4 linked regions of the Caenorhabditis elegans genome follow. The protein of the gene in region 2 interacts with the protein of the main gene of each other region in a pairwise test. Each region holds a gene or a part of one and is shown on either strand. Other genes may lie near its edges.

Evidence for each region.
Region 1: the proteins of Y71G12B.27 (region 2) and F14B6.3 interact in a two-hybrid assay, tested with the Caenorhabditis elegans proteins (one large-scale study listed by BioGRID).
Region 3: the proteins of Y71G12B.27 (region 2) and tomm-70 interact in a two-hybrid assay, tested with the Caenorhabditis elegans proteins (one large-scale study listed by BioGRID).
Region 4: the proteins of Y71G12B.27 (region 2) and ZK632.2 interact in a two-hybrid assay, tested with the Caenorhabditis elegans proteins (one large-scale study listed by BioGRID).

What each region holds. Positions count from the first base shown.
Region 1 is NC_003279.8:12,228,745-12,232,806, forward strand, and holds F14B6.3 (uncharacterized protein), read left to right. Parts: upstream 1-1,673; 5' UTR 1,674-1,836; coding exon 1,837-1,892; intron 1,893-1,946; coding exon 1,947-2,142; intron 2,143-2,659; coding exon 2,660-3,508; 3' UTR 3,509-3,559; downstream 3,560-4,062. Other genes in the region: F14B6.6 (Hexosyltransferase), read left to right, coding at 3,968-4,031.
Region 2 is NC_003279.8:1,796,930-1,800,647, reverse strand, and holds Y71G12B.27 (Cyclin-dependent kinases regulatory subunit), read left to right. Parts: upstream 1-1,925; 5' UTR 1,926-2,002; coding exon 2,003-2,146; intron 2,147-2,996; coding exon 2,997-3,209; 3' UTR 3,210-3,213; downstream 3,214-3,718. Other genes in the region: Y71G12B.5 (Apolipophorin), read right to left, coding at 733-931.
Region 3 is NC_003281.10:8,751,580-8,756,665, reverse strand, and holds tomm-70 (Mitochondrial import receptor subunit tomm-70), read left to right. Parts: upstream 1-1,915; 5' UTR 1,916-1,920; coding exon 1,921-2,037; intron 2,038-2,083; coding exon 2,084-2,387; intron 2,388-2,435; coding exon 2,436-2,518; intron 2,519-2,564; coding exon 2,565-2,728; intron 2,729-2,775; coding exon 2,776-3,057; intron 3,058-3,122; coding exon 3,123-3,195; intron 3,196-3,240; coding exon 3,241-3,303; intron 3,304-3,352; coding exon 3,353-3,645; intron 3,646-4,031; coding exon 4,032-4,178; intron 4,179-4,227; coding exon 4,228-4,366; 3' UTR 4,367-4,571; downstream 4,572-5,086. Other genes in the region: Dwarfin sma-2, read right to left, coding at 949-1,127, 1,313-1,626, 4,619-4,917. UniProt on the Caenorhabditis elegans protein: Receptor that accelerates the import of all mitochondrial precursor proteins.
Region 4 is NC_003281.10:9,797,150-9,802,876, reverse strand, and holds ZK632.2 (uncharacterized protein), read right to left. Parts: upstream 3,771-5,727; 5' UTR 3,767-3,770; coding exon 3,626-3,766; intron 3,571-3,625; coding exon 3,454-3,570; intron 3,076-3,453; coding exon 2,402-3,075; intron 1,851-2,401; coding exon 1,367-1,850; intron 1,309-1,366; coding exon 592-1,308; 3' UTR 544-591; downstream 1-543. Other genes in the region: riok-3 (Serine/threonine-protein kinase RIO3), read left to right, coding at 10-423; DNA replication licensing factor mcm-6, read right to left, coding at 4,383-4,560, 4,608-5,727.

The sequences.
Region 1 (4,062 bases), about 10 Mb from region 2:
TTGGTAAAAACCTACATATATCCCAAAATATATGTATGATTAATTTACTAACAATATACCAAAAACAACTTTACATATTACCCTTTCAGAAAATAAGTTTAGAACAATTTTACCTAAACATCATTTGAAGTTATGCCGTTTGAAGTAAACGGATAAACCATACTAATTTCCACCCCGTGAGGAGCAGCCTCTGTGTGCAAAAAGTTTTGCCAGGCCTAATAATAACCAATATGCAACAGCAGCCAACACCAGAAATAACAATAGCTGTTGCTACTAGGAAAAGGGAAAGGACGGCGGGATTTTGGAATACTAGAGTGAAAGAAAGGCAAAATGGAATGTAATTTGCACTCCTCCCACCCCCTAAACTAGGAGTCTTTTCCTTTATGTCTCGGACACACATTACGGAACTTTGGTTTGAAAAAAAAATTTGATATTAGGATTTGTTCCACAGAGAAACAGAGGCCACTAGACCACCTGCCACCCTTTTTTGGTTACATCTCCTCTTGATCTCTGACGTCATTCTACTAGAATACATGATGACCCTCAAGACAGGTGGAAAATTGCAGCAGCGTGGCGCAGTGGAAGCGTGCTGGGCCCATAACCCAGAGGTCGGTGGATCGAAACCACTCGCTGCTAGACGATGTTTTTTGCAGAGACAAAAATAAGAGAAATGCGTGCATTCTAGAAAATTGAGCCCAAATACTAAACGACTGCTGCCCCTATATGTCTTCATGCCTCGCGAGAACGGAAATCGCTAATTGTTAGTTTAACTCTACTATCCTAACTTCTTCTTTTTCCACCTTTTAGTCCTGAAAATAACTTTTAAAAAACCAAATATTTTCAACCTAAAAGTAGGGAGGGGATTGAGTAATAACATAGCAAAGCTAATAATGAATGGTCACAGCGGTGCATTAGGCGCTTCACGGAACATTATAAATGAGCAAAATGAGCACATTAAAGATTGAGTACACAATAATATGGCAGAGTTTCGGGGGGTTTTTGGGGTCTTAATGAATTGATGGATCAGGAGGTTTTTGGGTATATGAAGGTACCTATAATGCTTGTAGGTGTGATGAAAAACTCCGAGAAAAAACTTGAAAAAATGACTTTTTTTTGTAACTTTGAGCGGTGATAACTTAAAAAATCTGGAATTTTACTAAAAATTATGTATTACAGCTAAATTGTATTAATATGACACATTGTTGAACCTTCAACGGTTTCAAAGTTACAGTAATTTACGGTGAGCCAAGCATTTTTCCAAACTTGTCTCTCAAATCTGCAAAAGCTATAATTCAATATTTACATGAGTTGTTAGGGGAACAGCAAATTCTGAAAATGCGTATTGCACAACATATTTGAAGCGCAAAATATCTCGTAGCGAAAACTACAGTAACTCGTTAAATGACTACTGTATCGATCAAGCCCGTAAATCGACACGAGCACAACAGTAATCAATTACTGTAGTTTTCGCTACGAGATATTTTGAGCGTCAAATATGTTGTGCAATACGCATTCTCAGCATTTTGTGTTTCCTTAATACATACATACGTTCTCTTCTCAATTATATTGTTCCCTTTAACCCTTCTTCCCAGAAACCCAAGTGACGTCATATTGCACTACATGGGTCCCAGATGACCTCCTTTTTCCTAGATCGCCTGTACAAGATTTTTCAGACGCGCAAACTACACTTGATCAACAGGCGCGTCGAAATAGCACTGGGTAACGAGAGACCTAGACTGTAATACGTTTTTTTCCAGATGCCTAAAAAAGATGGTTATTTAGTTCTTTAGTTAATTAGCTCTTACCCAGTGAAGTCGGTTATTCTTTTATTCAACAATGCTCTCGTTTCTCCAATCTTTCTTCAAATCTCTGGGATACGAAGACTATTTCAAGTGAGTTTTAAACCCGTTTTTTCCCCAAATTCTTTATAAAATTGTAATTTTTAGACCCATTGCCCCATCTAGTCCACGATTCTTCACAAAATACTGTAATGAAACTCAAAAGAAGATTACAATTGTGATTGATAGTAACAATATCATTCGTCCCTTCGTTTTTGATGAGTCCAATGAACGTGAGCCGCTTTTTGTTGCACATTTGGGATGCTCGGAGTGCATGAGATGGAATCGAATGTATGGAGAAAACGTGAGTTTGTGCAATTTTTGTGCAAATTTTTGCTAAATTTTAAGCTTATAACAGCTTTGATCTACCATTTATATGAATGGTAGATATTATTTATATACAAATTTCACACAAATCGACGCTTTTATTCGAAATACGCTGTGACGTCACAAATTTTCAAATAATATTTTCCCGCCTTTCGTGTGAAGTGGAGCGATGCGACAGCCCACGTAGTGCTGGACTGTACCATTACGGTTTGATCTACAAAAATGCTGGAATTTTTTGTCCAAAAATGTGACGTCAGCGCATTCCTAACCAAGCTATATCAGTTGAGAACTCTGCGTCTTTTCTCCCGCATTTTTGTAGATCTGGGTAGATCAAGCCGAAATGAGACACTCTGACACCACGTGACAGCCTGAAACCACGTAAAAAAGGCATATGCCGAATTAGTAGTAGCCTGCGGTCTCGAATGTGGGTTCCGTCTTAAACTTCCGACTTTTATTTTTGTGTTTAAATTTAACAAGACAATGTTTTTTTTCAGATTGCTGAGAATAATGAGCCGGAAACCGATTCTGAAGACGAAACAGATTATGAAAGTGAAACCTCCGATTCTGAACTTGGGCAAGACTCACCGAATCCGAATCTCTCAGAAGCCTTAAACAATTGTATTGAAAATTTTGACCAACTGGTCGATGAAGTTGTAAGACACAAGGATTTCCACGAAAGATCTCAGCTCTTGAGAGTTCTCGAAGAATGCCTAGGGAATATGAACAGTTTCCTTCAAAATGAAAACTTGACTGTCGACGATATTTCGACTGGTGCCTGTGCACTGTTGAACGAGACGGCGGAAAAGCTGAAGCAGATGTTCAGCTCGAGTGGGATCTCAGGTCGGAAGGAGAGTTCAGAAGGGACCAACAAGGATCTCATTAAATTTGGGGAGTTGGAGATCAGAGGTGATGAAGAGGAGGATGATGACGACGAGTCTTACGTGGAAGGTGAAGAAGAAGATAGTTCTGACGAGGACTTGGACGATGAAGATCAGGAAGGAGAGTCCTCAATTGAGCCAAGGCTCTCAGAAACTTTCAAAAAATCGGAAGCTCGAGAATCGCTGAGCTCAAAAGAAGCTCCAGTTAAGGACCTAGTTATCTATCAAAAATTCAGAGATGAGCATGAAGACTTAGAAGAGTCCGAGAATGAGCCCAGAATGAGTGATGAAGCGGAAAAGTTAGTGGAAGACAAAATAATTGAAGAATCCGATGAAGATTCTTTTGATATAATTGGGAGAGATGAAGAATTGGATGATGACTCCAATGGCAAAGAAGAGGAAGAACTAGAGCTTGATGTAACGCAGGAAGACTCGGAAGATGATGAACAATTTTTTTCTCTCTGAAAATGTTTTTTTGCTCAACTTAAATACGTGATAATAAATCTGCTAACGACCAAACATTTGAAATTATCTATTTTATTTTGAACGAACCTTAATATTTGAGGTATCATGATAAAAGTGCAGTTACAGACTTTTTTAGTATGATGAACCCAACTCTAGTATTATTAATCCGCAAAAAATTCAGAAATGCCTAAAACCACAGAAATTAGGGGGTGTCCCATAGCAGTTGGGCGCACTGTAGGAACCAAATTGGACTTCAGGTTAGAAAAATAGATAGTTAGAGAAAAATACTTTCTTATCAGTTGCTCTCTTCTTTATCATTGCCCCTTTCGTATTTGCACTTTCTCTGCATCTCTCTCACTCTCCCACTCTCTTTACACGTGAATTTGTTTCCTTTTTCATTGTTGAATTGTTTGAATCCATGAGTTTTCGGTTTCAAATCTGATTGCTAAATTCCCACTAATGAAAGCTCGTAAAATTTTAATTACCGTAGCCATTCTGGCTTCACTGCTTGCTTACCGATATTGTGAGTTTTTGAATTTCTTACATTTGAAAAT
Region 2 (3,718 bases):
GACACTACTTGAATAACCCCATTACGGAGGGATTCACAATAGAGATTAGGCTAGTGGTACATCCATACATATGCGCTCTACTGATAATTTGAGTTTAACCAGGTTTGGGCGAGTTTTAAAAAAAAGTTTTGGTCCAAAAAATGTAGAATTTATTATCGGACATTTTTTTACATGCACCAAAAAATGTTCGACCAGCCGTTTTTGAGGAAAAAAAACCCGCCCAAACTTCCAGGTATACGGTAGACAAATTACGTACAGGCCCCCCTTCTCGGGTCGTGTTAGGGCTCCCAGCAGAGTGAGGCGCGAAATGCGGGCCTCACGCCGACCTCCGCGCACCGATGTGTGTATGCAACGAAGTGCGAAGGGTAGTTATTTGGAGCGGCCGACAAGTTCGGGGTTCCGCAGCTTGGCGTGAAACGAGTAGCTTGGTGTGTGCAGTGCACAACGTAGTTCGAAACTGTGGTTGGCGGCCGACAAGTTCGGGGTTCCGTGCCGCACTATACATTCGGATACATGCGGCGTGAGTGACGCCGACACCGTGAGGCCGGCGCGGCTACCGCTGAGGTCGGCGCGGGACTCGTTGCGGCGACCTCATGGGAGCCCTAACAGAGATGTTAAATTGTTTCAAAATAGCACCGAAACTACTTAATTATAACTTTGCGAGAGCTTACAGATCATTCAAGAATCCCGTCAATTTTTCAACATCTTAAGGAAATTGCCTAAAACACTCACCCTTGTCATATTTTCCCTTGCATCCTTGAAACGAGAACCCATCGGAAAATAGTGTAGCAATCCGGGAAGCATCTCTAGTAGCAATTTCATCTGACACTTTGCTCAAAAACTCCTTGACAGTGGTCTCGGATCCATCGGCGAGTCCATGAATAGTTCTGAAGAGAAGAAAAACGAGAAGAAAATAATTTGTCAGCCACATATTGTGAGGCGACTATCTGCGGAAAAGACGGGATGGTGGGCTCCTTTTAAGCGACAAGATGGGCGGTATGATCGTTATGAATAATCGAATTATTGGAGGGACGGGAATTGGGAATTGTTGCGGGGGACGACACGTCAGCACAGGGAATCGAAAATCAAATTTGGAAAGATGGGAAAAAAATCAAGAAATCTGCAAAATTCGTAGAAGAAAGATGAAAGTGTGGGGAGCTTTTAGATTCGGTAATGTGTATTTTCTATAGAATCCCCCAAAGTTTCGAGTTTTGACATTTTTCATAAAAATTTGATAATGCCAATCGATTTCAATTGTTAAAAAAAAGCAAAAGTTGTATTTTTCAAAAATTCAAAAGTACTGAAAAATCATATGAAGTGCTTCTTTTTTCTTTTATAATACTGTTCAGCATGATCAGAAATACCAGAAAATACTAAAAAAAAGTATGCTAGTCAATCCGGAACATATTTTAAAAAATTGCACAATTTGACCAAAAGCTGTATTTTTCAAAAATTCAAAAGTACGCCAAAATCATATGAAGTGCTTCTTTTTTCTTTTATATTACTGTTCAGCATGATCAGAAATACCAGAAAGTATCAAAAAGAGTATGCTAGCTTGACCGGAAGATTATTTTGAAAAATTGCAAAATTTAGTTAAAATCTATTTTTTCAAAAATTCAAAAGTACTGAAAAACCATATGAAGCGATTCTTTTTTCTTTCATAAAACTGAAAAATAAATGAAGTAAATAAAACGATGCAAGCGCGCTCCAATGCGAATTTGAAAAAATTATGCGGGGGCACAAATGAAATTCGGCGATTTCAAGCTCAAATATAAAATCAGGGATTTTTTTGTTGAATTTTTTTTACATCGATATTCGGAATACTCCACGTGATTTGTAAAATAAATACAACATTTCAGAATTTAAAAAAAAAGAATTGTCCACGTAACCTTGCCCCCCCCCCTCTTCCTAATTGTTCCAACAACATTTCCAAAACTCCTCAACAATCATTCATTCCCTACTTGTCGTACAATTAACATCGAAGAATAAGAGTTTTTGAAAAATGGAAGATATCTACTATTCGCCACGTTACGAAGATGATGAATACGAATATCGCCACGTCATTCTTCCGCAAGCCGTCTCGAGAAAAGTGCCAAAGGGAAGACTTCTTAGTGAGGCTGAATGGAGACGTGCTGGAGTTCAACAGGTATATTTTCAATTAAGTGATATGTTAAGATTTTAGGAAAAAAATCGATAATTAAAAAAAATAGATTTTTCCAAAAATCGATAATTCACAAAATTGATATTTTGAAAAAGCCAATATTTTAAAATATTTTTTATTAAATTAAGCAAGGCTCCCAGCCGAGTGAGGTGCGAAATGTGGGCCTTACGCCGGCCCGATAATTTAATTGCCGGTTTGCTGATTTGCCGGAAATTCTCATGTTCGGCAAATTGCCGGTTTGCCGATTTTCCAGAAATTTTCAATTCCGGCTATGTGCCGGTTTGCCGATTTGCCAGACATTTTCAATTCCGGCTATGTGCCGGTTTGCCGATTTGCCAGACATTTTCAATTCCGGCTATGTGCCGGTTTGCCGATTTGCCAGACATTTTCAATTCCGGCTATGTGCCGATTTGCCGATTTGCCAGGAACTTTCAATTCCGGCAATTTGCCGGTTAGCCGACTTGCCAGAAATTTTCAATTCCGGCAATTTGCCAGAAATTTTCAATTCCGGCAGTTTGCCGATTTGCCGATTTCCAGAAATTTTAAACTTCGGCAATTTGCCGGTTTTTTGATTTGCCAGAAATTTTCAATTCCGGCTATGTGTCGGTTTGCCGATTTGCCAGAAATTTTCAATTCCGGCAATTGGCCGGCTTACCGATTTGCCCGAAATTTTCAATTCCGGCAATTTGCCTTTAATGAAAATTTGTTTTAAATAAACATTAATATGTTGATAGAATCGATATTTCAAGAAAACCGATAGTCATAAAATCGACGAAAAAAAATCAATATTAAATTTCTGAATGTGGCCGAATTATTGATTTTTCATACTTTTCAGTCACTTGGATGGGAGCACTACATGGTTCATAACCCGGAGAAGCACATTCTCTTGTTCCGTCGGAAGCGCCATTTCACAAAAGCCGACGAGGAGCGTGCCAAAATGGAATTGTTGAGAGATATGGAAGTGTTCAATAGAGCGCAACAGCAAACGACAGCAACCGATGAGAAATTGAACGCGGTTTTCTATGAATTTGTGAATAAAGCAGTGTAGATATTTTGTAAGACTTTGGGCTTCCATGGGTGAGCGGCGGTGCGTCTCGCGCCGGCCGGCCATCGCCGCTGTTATTTGGAAGCGTCCGACACGTTCGGGGTTCCGCGCCGCACTATACATGACTGAGGCGTCTCGCTGGTCGGCGAAGGCGCCTCGCCGGCGCAGGAATGGAAGCCCTAGTAATACCGTATGTTCAATTAAAAAGCGCCGAAAATCGATATATTACAAAAGTTGCTTTTTAAAAAATCGATATTTTGGGAAATCGATATTTCGACAAAAATCAATATTAAATGAAAATCGAAGTCATAAAAATCAATATTTTGCAACAAAACCCGTATAGAATAAAAATCTCGGCCGCCATAAAAACGAAGCATAAAGATTTTTATTTCAAATTTTATGTTAACAAAAATTACAAATTTGTTTTGAACGTAGAGTACACCAGGGGCCGGCAATTCCCGTTCGGCAATTTTTTTTGTCCACAAATTCGGAAAGTCGGCAAATTGCCAGTT
Region 3 (5,086 bases), on a different chromosome or scaffold from region 2:
TGTTCACTGCGTATCGATTTTTATGAAACTGTGGGAATTTATGTTATCAACCATGATCTTTCATTTGACAATAGTCACAAAATTTTTTGGCCGTCCGAAGTGCCCTAACTCGGAGCCAATGTTTTCAGGCATTTTTCAGATCTCGCTTCTTTTACGCTTTGATTTGAGGTTTGTGTGCGGATTTAGCTTTGTTTAGTACACAATGTAAGAAAACAAGAAAAGTTTAGAAAAAAATCCGTCCAAAAAAAAATTTTTTTGTCGGTCGTCAAAAAATGCTCAAAAAAGTTTTTGTCGAAAATTCTTGATTTTTTATACAAATATGATGTAACCATGTGCAAACTATTTATTTTGCACATGGTTACATCATTTTTGTATGAAAAATCAAGAATTTTGGACAAAAATTTTTTTGAACATTTTTTGACGACCGACAAAAAAAATTTTTTTTTTAACGGATTTTTTCCAAACTTTTCTTGTTTTCTTACATTGTGTACTAAACAAAGCTAAATCCGCACACGAACCTCAAATCAAAACGTAAAAGAAGCGAGATCTGAAAAATGCCTGAAAAATTTGGCTCCGAGTTAGGGCACTTCGGACGGCAAAAAAATTTTGTGACTATTGTCAAATGAAAGATCATGGTTGATAACATAAATTCCCACAGTTTCATAAAAATCGATACGCAGTGAACAAAGTTATGATTTTTGACCCGGAACTTATTTGGAGACCTAATAGTTTCAGTTACTATTTTTTGCCCAAGAACATGGCTTCGCCAGTTTTAATGTGTGTACCTTTAAAAAGTACAGTAACCCAGTTTTTTTCAAAAAGTATAAGAATAGGCTACCGTACTGCTTAAAGGTACACATATTGCTGTGAGACTGCAATTTTAAGTTATTTTGTGCGTGACGAGACCTTTTCTTGACTCAAACATTGCAATTACGTGAATTAGCTTACCTGTCTAAAAATCTCCATATCGAAAATCTTCAGTGAACACTTATTTGCAATTTTAACAACAGTTGTTGAGTGAAATCCATTGATATAATTACAATTACTAGATTGTACGAATATAGCTGAATCACTTTCACATTGAGCAAAGAGTGAGCCATTGCTACGTACGTAGGTTAGCTTGACACCTGGAATTACAAAAAGTTTGAAAATTTTCAATTTTTTAGTCATAGTCTTGCAAAAATTATGCGCCGAAGTACGGTACCCAATCTCCCGAAAATCAGGTTACTGTACTTCTTGAAGGCGCACGCGTGTTTTGCTCGGCCTTGATTTGAAAGTAATTCGTTCGTGGCGAGGCCGTGGGTGCTCTTACCGTTTCCAATATGTCTTCTTGTATTTTCAATAGTTGCATTTCGATTTACATTCGAAAACAGTCCCAGGCTAATTTTGCTTCCATTGATGCATGGATCAGTGAATCCATCGATAGTTATAGTTGTTGAAGACACTTTAACCTGTTCTCCGACTCTTGTATTCAATTCATAATAGCTAACAGTTGCCCAGAATTGTTCTTCCCAAACTTTATCGAATGGCACGAGACATGTTGGAACTCCTGGTGGAATGTCGAATTTCTGAGAAGTATCCATTTCCTCAATTCCATTTGGATTGTATTGATGAAATTGGTTGGCTCTAGAAAATTATTTATTAAATCCCTAATTAGAAAATATATTGATAATATTTCAACCTTTTTTTCTTTTCGTAACCTTTTCCCTCTCAAAGTTATTTTGGATCCAATTTTATTTACAACTTGCGACGATACTCCGGAATTCCACCGCATGCTGTTTATCGTAAATATTGCCTACTTTTCTTATCACTGAAATTTTACATCATTTTACCAATTTTTCTTCATTCTCTTTGAATTCTCAATTTTTCTAACTTAATCTTAACTTATATCATTTATCTATTTATTATTTTGTAGATATAATGGTCGAAACGACTGGAATCAGCGACCAAACGAAAAAAGTGCTGATCGGTGTGGCAGCTGCAGCGACAGTTGCAGGTGTAGGATACTTGGTATATAAGAGTTTTGGAGGTTCAGACGTGAGTTTCTAGTGTACAATGATATCAATTTCAAAACTAATTTCAGCTGGAAAGGGACTTGGAGGAAATAAAAGCATTGGGAAATTTGAAGTTTAAAGAGAAACAATACGATTCCGCACTAGAAGCATTCACAAAAGGAGTCGAAAAGGCCGGACCAAACTCTTCTGATCAAATTGTCGCAATGCTCTACCAAAATCGTGCAGCCTGTCGTGAAAAGGTTGGACACAGCCCTTTTGATATCCTCAACGACTGTATGGCTGCATTGAAAGTAGACAAAAAATACACCAAAGCATACTTGAGAGCAGCAAAAGCACTTAATGACGTCGGAAAGAAACAGGATGCTCTGGCGTGTGAGTTTCTGAAGATGTTACGAGAAAAGTATCAATTCCTGTTTTTAGATCTTCTTGCCGCGTTCACTTTGGATTCTAGCCTGAATAAGACGAATTTCGAATTCTTTGGAAAGCTTCTTGCTATAGAACCCGTAAGAGCCTAACAATTTCTTAAAGAAACTCAACTTTTTATTCTAGATGTCCGACTGTCACATTGGAAAACCACTCAAAATCGAAGATGTTAAGCCACAGCCAGTAGCTTTGTTCAGAATTCAGCAGTGGTGTGATACTTGGGATATTCTTGATCTTTTCAAAACAGATCTCACCAGATTCGAACCAGAAGTGCTCAGTGAAGACCAGAAGTAAGCTCTAATTCTAGATATACAGTAAAAATAATTATAAATTTCAGACAATACCAACTTGCACTGGAAAAGTTCAAAAAAGGAAAATACGAAGAACTGATTGATCTGCTTACTGAGGAAAACAGCTATCCTCCGGCAATGATCTTGCGTGGAAAAATGCTAAGCTACAGTACTGATCCTAACGAGGCAACGAGATATATCGATAAAGTTGGAGCAAAAATTAACGAACTGATTGGATCAGAAGAGGATGAGGAACGCAAAAAACTAATGAGAGATGCTTTCGATATTCTCAAGATTGAGCTAATGTATACTATGGCAGATTTGGATAAGTTAGTTTTTTTTCTTGATTTTCCAAAATATTTCCAGGTCTTGTCTAATTTTTTCTAATTTTCAGATTCCTGGAATCAGTTCCAAAAGACGATAAGGAAAGACTTTTCAAACTTTATTCGTTTGCATCTATTTTTGTGGTAATTCGATTAAATCATTTTTATTCTCTAAAAATATGGTTTCAGTATAATGGATGTGTTCTCGATACAGCAGTGACGAATCATGAGCAACAAATGATGGCGGATACAGTAAATTTAAATTCATAATTTTCTTATTTATAATTATTTAATTTTCCAGAACAATGCCAATAGACTTCTCACAGAAGCTGAAAAGAACGGAACTCTCACTCCACATCTTTCCATGATTGTTACATTCCTGAAGTTGTGTACCAGCGAAGACTACGCTGATGTTCATCGACGAATCCGAGAAATGGAAGAACTCGCAGAGAGTAGATCTACTCATTTCAATCTGGTTCTTATGTCCAAAGTATATATGATGACTAATAATGAGGAGAGCTCGAAGAAGTTGCTCGAAGAGGCTGCAAGGATTACTACGAGATATTTGGTGCCAAGTAGGCATTTGCAGACTGCGTAAGTTTAGATTTTAATTTTCTGAAATTCGCCGACTGGTACCAGTTGCCGAGATTTTATGAAAAAAAAAATAAAACAAAAAATCGAAAATTAAAAATTTTTTTTGACTTTTCGATTTTTTTCAAAAAAAAAAAAAAAAGAATCGAAGAATATACTCATAAAATTCGATTTTTGAAATAAATTTTGTTTCTGTTGTTGAAAAAAGAAGAAGTATAATTTTCTTTTAAAAGGAAGGAAAATGGCAAAAATTTAAGCTATCGGAAAGTTGAAAAATCAAAAAGTGCGAATTTTTTGTTCAATCACGTCATTAGGGACCAGCCTGCGAATTTTAAATTGAAATTCCCATCGGCTTCTAAGTTCTACGTTAAATACAATTAATTTTCCAGTGATCTCCACGTGCACAAACCAGAAGCTGAACGACTCAGATTGACAACTGAAAGTGCCAACGCAGCAATTGCAGTTGATCCATTCAATTTCTCGGCTCACGTTCTTCATCTTTTGGGAACTAACGGGCCAGAGCCGATGATCAAGAAGTAAGTAAAAAAGTTTCAGAGTTCCACTAAAAAATCCAAGTCCTTTCAGAGAAAATTACGAGCGAGCAATGGAATCAATTCGAAATGCAGCTCTATTTGCCCCACCACGAGAACTTCTCATGTTGAAGAGAATGATTCCATTGATGAATGCTAAGAAACGTGCAGCTGAAATGCTCGATATGTATTAATTTAAAGAATTTTTGAATAGTTGATAGGCTGCTTTGTTACCTGTTTTTCCCCTCATTTCCCCGTTTTTTTTTTAAGTTTTCGGGTTTCTCAAAATCAACCCATCCGTTTTCCAGTTCCGTTCCTTACCTACTGTGTTCGTTTTCTTATTTTATTCTTCGCTTTTTTGTTTTTTTGTTCCCGATAATCTCATAAATACCAGATATTTCAATTTTTCTTCAATCAGTAATACCATATATTTTTTAAACACTTACGTAAAATTAACGTTTGCCATATTGACATTCTGCGGCATTCTTGATCCGCTCATCTCCATCAACTGAAATTTCGCCAGAGTTGGGGGCACTTCTTGTGGTGGTTTCTCGGAATAACGAGGTACAAGAACTGGTGGAAGTACTCCAGTTGCATGAACTCTTTTGTAATGATATGGATTAATGCAAATATCCTTTTGCCCTGATTCGTAGCAGAATCGGCAATCTTCAATTGCTTTCAATTCATGATGTGATTGAAGATCTGGCCAACGATAGACACGGCAATATATCACATGAGGAAGTGCCTGAATTTTTAGTACATAGGATTTGGAATTGTTCCTAACATTTTTTCTCAGAGTGGATTATTTGAATTTTCTGTGAAAAATGATAATCTCCAGCTGTTCAAACAAGCATTTCACGAAGAAGCTTCATTTCAAAAAAAATTGAAAATCGAACAAAAGATCAGCTAACGTT
Region 4 (5,727 bases), on a different chromosome or scaffold from region 2:
ATTTTTCAGATAATGTGTCGAATGTACAAAGAATGTCTTCTGGTTCATGCGGATCTGAGCGAGTTCAATCTTCTCTTAACTCCTGATAATAAAGTTCACGTGATCGATGTGTCTCAAGCAATGGATCTATCTCATCCACGATCATTACAATTCCTCACTCGTGACATTCAAAATATTATCACATTCTTCACTCGTATCGGAACTCCAAATCTTCCAACCTACGTTCAACTATTCAATCTGATTACTGACCTCGATATGGTAGAAGATCATGATTTGCTCGTCCAAGTTGAACAATTTTCCGAAGAGAATAGATCCGTAGACTTACGTCATGATAAATCTCGGCCAGCTGATATGGAGCTCAAGAAATATAATGAAGAGAAGAAAGCGAATCGAGGCATTTCACCGGCGAGAGAGTATAATTAATCAAATTTAATTTAAATATTATATTTAAGTATCGTTTGTTGTTTTTCTTTTCTATTTTTTGCTCCTTTGGTTTGTTTACTTTAATGTATTGTTTAACGTGTTACTTCAGATTACATAGACAGAGGAGCACCTTCATTAAAATAATACAAGATTCAGATAGAGCAATATTCAATACCTTCCAGCAAACTTCGCTCGCAGAGCATCTTGTTTAGCTTCCGACTGATCTGCATTTGGTGGCATCCATGTTGAGTATTTCTCATCTCGATCCTCAACACCTGCACCGTAATCTTCTGATCCAGCGATCTTCTTTTCAATATCACGCCGTCGGACTCTTTGAACCTTTTTCTTAGCTTCTTCTTCCGCTTCAAGCTTTTGCTTTTTCGCGAGTTCTTCTTTTTCAGCTTCAAGCTCCTCTTCCCATTGTGCAACTCTCTTCTGAACTTTGCTGCCGAATGCTTCTTTCTGTGGAGTTTCTTCAGAAACTTCGTCTTTTACCGAGCTTGGTTCATCTACAGCCGGTAAAGAATTCTTTATTTCAGATGAATCCAATGATGCAGCAATTTCTTTCTCAACTTTTAATGGAGTCATCTTCTTCTCATGTTCAACTTCCACAGCTTTTGTTGAGGTTGGGGCTACTGTAGCTGGAAGAGTAGCTGAAGTCGACGGTCCTGGTCCTTGTGAAGGTGTTTGATCAATTTCTTTTCTTGCTCGAACACCCATCAACTTTTTAAGGAATGCTTGTCGATCATTGGCAGCAGTAGTTTCCAGTTGTTCCAATCCTTTTACTACAGCTGGCTTAGCAATTTTGACCAACTTTTCGAGTTTTTGAGATTCGTGTGTCGCTGCCATCAGTTTTTGACGCCATTTTGACTTTTCCATTTTGGTCTGAAAATGAATAATTATTGAAGATCAGAATATCACTTTAAACGTTTCCAAATCCTACCTTTGCATCGTCTCCCGCTCCGCCAGATTTCTCCAACTGCCGGATGTAATCATCTAGAACATCACCCCCTTGATCAATTGTTCTAGATTTCTTTGTTCCAGCTGACAATTCATCCAAATGTTTCTGACATTCGATTATTTCTTTCTTCGATTCTTCCAATTTTCTACATAAACTCTCATAGGTATCTGTTTCGGTTCTTTTATGCCCAAATCCTTCTTCAGCCCACTGCTTTCGTTTTTCACGTTGTTTTTCCAACTGTCCAGTTCTATCAAGATACAGATCGTCGTCTTCATCGTAATAATCATTGGCTTCAAGAGTTTTTCGTTGCATTCGGAGTTTGGTATTTGATTTCCGAAGAACATTATACGTATCGAGAATTCGGCATGCATCGAGAGCACATTGAATTTGAGCATCTTTTTTGGAAGTTGATACAGTTGCCGATGCAGTGAAGGCACGATCAACTCCGTCGATTTCAACAGGTAACCTGGAATAATGTATTTTTATAGAAGTTGAAAATTAATAATCTGGTTGATTCCTGAAACCTAAATATTTAGCAGACCATAAATGGGTCTGCTAAATATTCAGCAGACCATACATGGATCTGCTAAATATTTAGCAGACCATAAATGGGTCTGCTAAATATTTAGCAGACCATACATGGATCTGCTAAATATTCAGCATAGGGACTAGCGTGAATGGGGTTTTTCTTCAAAAAATCAAAAATTGTCTCAAATTCAGAAAAAAAAACTTTAAAAATCGAAAAGGAATGAAAAAACAATTTTAAAAACGTGATTATCACTGTTGGCTAAATTTTATGTTTGAATCATTATTTCGTGATTATTTTTTGTATTTCTGTTGTGGTATTTCTGAACTTGAGACAGTTTAGGATTTTTGAAGCGAAATTCTCTTCTCCCTCTCTCTCTCTCTCTCTACTCCGCCTTTAACTACCTAGTTTTTTGAGCTTGTGAAAATTTTAATTAATTTTTTTTTTAGTTCAAAACGATTTTTTCTTGAAAATAAATTTCAAAAACTCACTCAATAGAACAGACCCATTTGTGTGTATGACCTTGTCCCTGTTCACTGAATTCAAAATTCATATCAAATCCTTCCCGTTCAAAAAACTTCTGCAACGCCTTTTTTGGATCCTGATTATAATAAGCTTCTCGATCCTCCATCAAATGTGCATCAGTTTCAACAGTAGTCAATGGTTTCTCATCTTCTCCATAATCCATTCCCCATCCACATCCTTCTTCTTCTTTTTCACGTTTTTCATCGTCAATCATTTCTTGTGCTGCAGCGGCTCTCAATTTTGCTTCCAATTCTTTTTTGTGTTTTCTTAACTTCATTTCAGTTGGTGAACAATCCCATTCCGGCTCTGAATCCTCTTCAGGCCCAACAAAATTCAATATTCGAGTACTTTCTCCAAACTGAAAAATGAATCCAACTCTGGTTCTGATGTATTGTTTCGGTGGTAATCGTTTTTTATTCATACGGCTTCCATGGGTACTTCCCAATTCAAAAATATGCCATCCTTTTCCAGTTTTTGACATTTTATCATTTCCATATTGTAAAATACAGTGATATCTTGAAATTGATGGATGTTCCATTAAAAGATCACATCCTGGCTTGATTCTTCCGATAACTACGAACGTTGAATTCTTTCGATTTGACAAATCATACGAAGCAATTAATTTTCCTTCTTTCAGAATCTGAAAAAATTGTTTTTATTTTATTTTGTATCAACAGAAAAATTGAGAAAATTAGCATTAAAATTACGGTTTCTGGTCCTAACACTACAATTTTTGTTAAATGCGAGAATATGTGCGCCTTTAAAGAGTACTGTAATTTCAAATTTTCATTGCTGCTTAATTTTCACCGAATTTTCATAGTTTTTCTCTCGATTTGTCAAAATTGAAATGTAATATATTTGCATATTCAGGTTTTTTAATAAATTAATTTAATTCATATCGAAAAAAAAACTACAGTACTTTAAAGGAGCAGACGTTGTTACATTTAACAAAAAATTTTCGTGTCGAGACCGGGTACCGAATTTTTTGTGCAAAATTTCGCGTCTGGGTAATATGTACCTCAAACTGAAATTTATGAGCTGGATCCGGTTCACAAGCCCAAGGAGGCACTTCATAGTGTAGAGCTGGTGCTTGCACTGAAATTTTCGATTCTTTTTCAGCTTGAACTTCCGCAGTCTGAAAGAAAAATGATTATTTCAATATATATATAATCAATAAATATTTTTCAAACCTCAATTTCATCAATAACTCCTTCAACTGGACCGTCCATCTGTTCAGCGGGAGCTCGAATTTTTTCAGGCGACATTGGAGCCGGAGCATGATGAGATGGAGGTAAACTTGGTGATTTGAAGGCTCCGTCTGATTCAGACATTACGCTGAAATATTTATTATTTGATTTCTGAGCTAAAAATACGGTAGCCGGTCTCCGCACGAAAAAGGTTTGAGGAAAAAATGATGTGCACCATTATAGAATACTGTAATTTTAAATTAAAGGGATTTTCATCGTTTTTTTAAAATAAAAATAAGATTATTCATTAGCAAGCTCAAGAATAACATTAAAAACATGAATTATCGAAAAACGGGAGAAAAAAAACAAAAAAATATGAATCTGTAAATTACAGTACTCTTTAAAGGCGCACATCCGTTTTCATTTAACAAACATTTATCGTTTCGAGACTAGGTACCGTGTTTTTGGCACAGAAATCCCAATATTTTACATCTGGATAACTAAAAGATTCGGTTTGCGAAAGTTGTCCACGAGAAGTACATGGCCGTCAATGAAACTAGGCCGCAGCCCATACATTTTTCACTTTGAACACATAGCAATAGTTTGGAAATATTGATGAAAATTCATTCACAAAAGTTCCGGTGATAGTCATACTCAAGTTAATTGCAAATTAGTGAGTTGATGATGATGATAAAAATAATGATAAACGGTAAAAGAGCCTGGATAAGAGATCAATACACACGGGAAGCAATTATTTCAATTATTCGTCGGCAATAACATAGTTCGGATGAACACAGAGAGTTGGATCTTCTCCTTGCTCAACTTCAAGAAGAACGTGATCCTGGTGAATGAGACGATGAATTACACGCTCGCAAATAGTCTTTTGTACGTTGAAGTCTTCCTCCGTCTCCAAATCTGCTTCGATTGTCGACAAGTACCTAAAAACCAGAAATTTAAATTTAAATATTTGAATATTTAAACAAACCATTCAACAAGTGCACTCTGCTTGACACCATCATACTCGTCTTCTCCTTGATTGTCTTCATCGGATCGCATATGTAAAACGAGAACATCAGACAATTGCTTGTATTCCTTGAATGAGATTTTGAGCTTTGCTATATCAATCTTCGGAGCATTTTCCTTCTCTCCATCATGATCCATACTATCATCTCCTCTTTGATTCTCTTTGTCTGCTTCAACAACCATGATATTGTTGTCAAAGTCGTCATCATCCAAAGCAATGTCTGGTTGCTCAACTCTGACGATAGACTTGTTGAGAAGTTCGGCAGCCTTTTCGACATGTTCCACCAGTACTTCCTTTCCACAGTGAAGACGAGCAAGAGCCTCAGACAGACGAACGAGAGACTCCAATTGACGAACAGTGATTCTCCATGATGACGTGGCTGCATTGTTGCTGTCAGACATACGAAGTTTCTTGTACTCTCGAACAAGAGTTTCAGCAGCTTTATCCGAAATCTTCGGCTTGAAGCAACGAGCAAACGCGATATACTTCTTGATATCATCAATTTTGTAAACACTGTCACGTTCAGTATGCTCACTGATCGCACGATGATTATCAAGGATCCGACGGGCAATAGCGTAATCAGTAACTTCATTGCACTCATCGACCAACACAAAGAAAAGATCGAAACGTGACATAATCGGAGCTGACATCTGGACATTATACTTCAACGGACGACTTCTATCATAACGTCCATTAACTGGATTTGCAGCGGCAAGAATTGATGCACGGGCATTCAATGTTGCTTTGACTCCAGCTTTGGTGATGGAAATGGTTTGTTGTTCCATTGCCTCGTGAATGGCAACCTGATCCTTGAGGTCCATTTTGTCGAACTCATCAATACAACAAACTCCATTGTCGGCAAGCATGAGAGCTCCAGCTTCAATGACAAACTCGAACGATTCCTCGTCTTTTACAACAGCAGCAGTCAGACCAGCAGCTGAAGATGCTTTTCCAGAAGTGTAAATAGCTCTTGGACTGAACTCTTCCACAGCTTTCAGAACTTGCGACTTGGCAGTTGATGGATCTCCAACAAGACAAACGTTGATATCACCTCTCAGTGAAGTTCCTTCGTCCCTGCTCT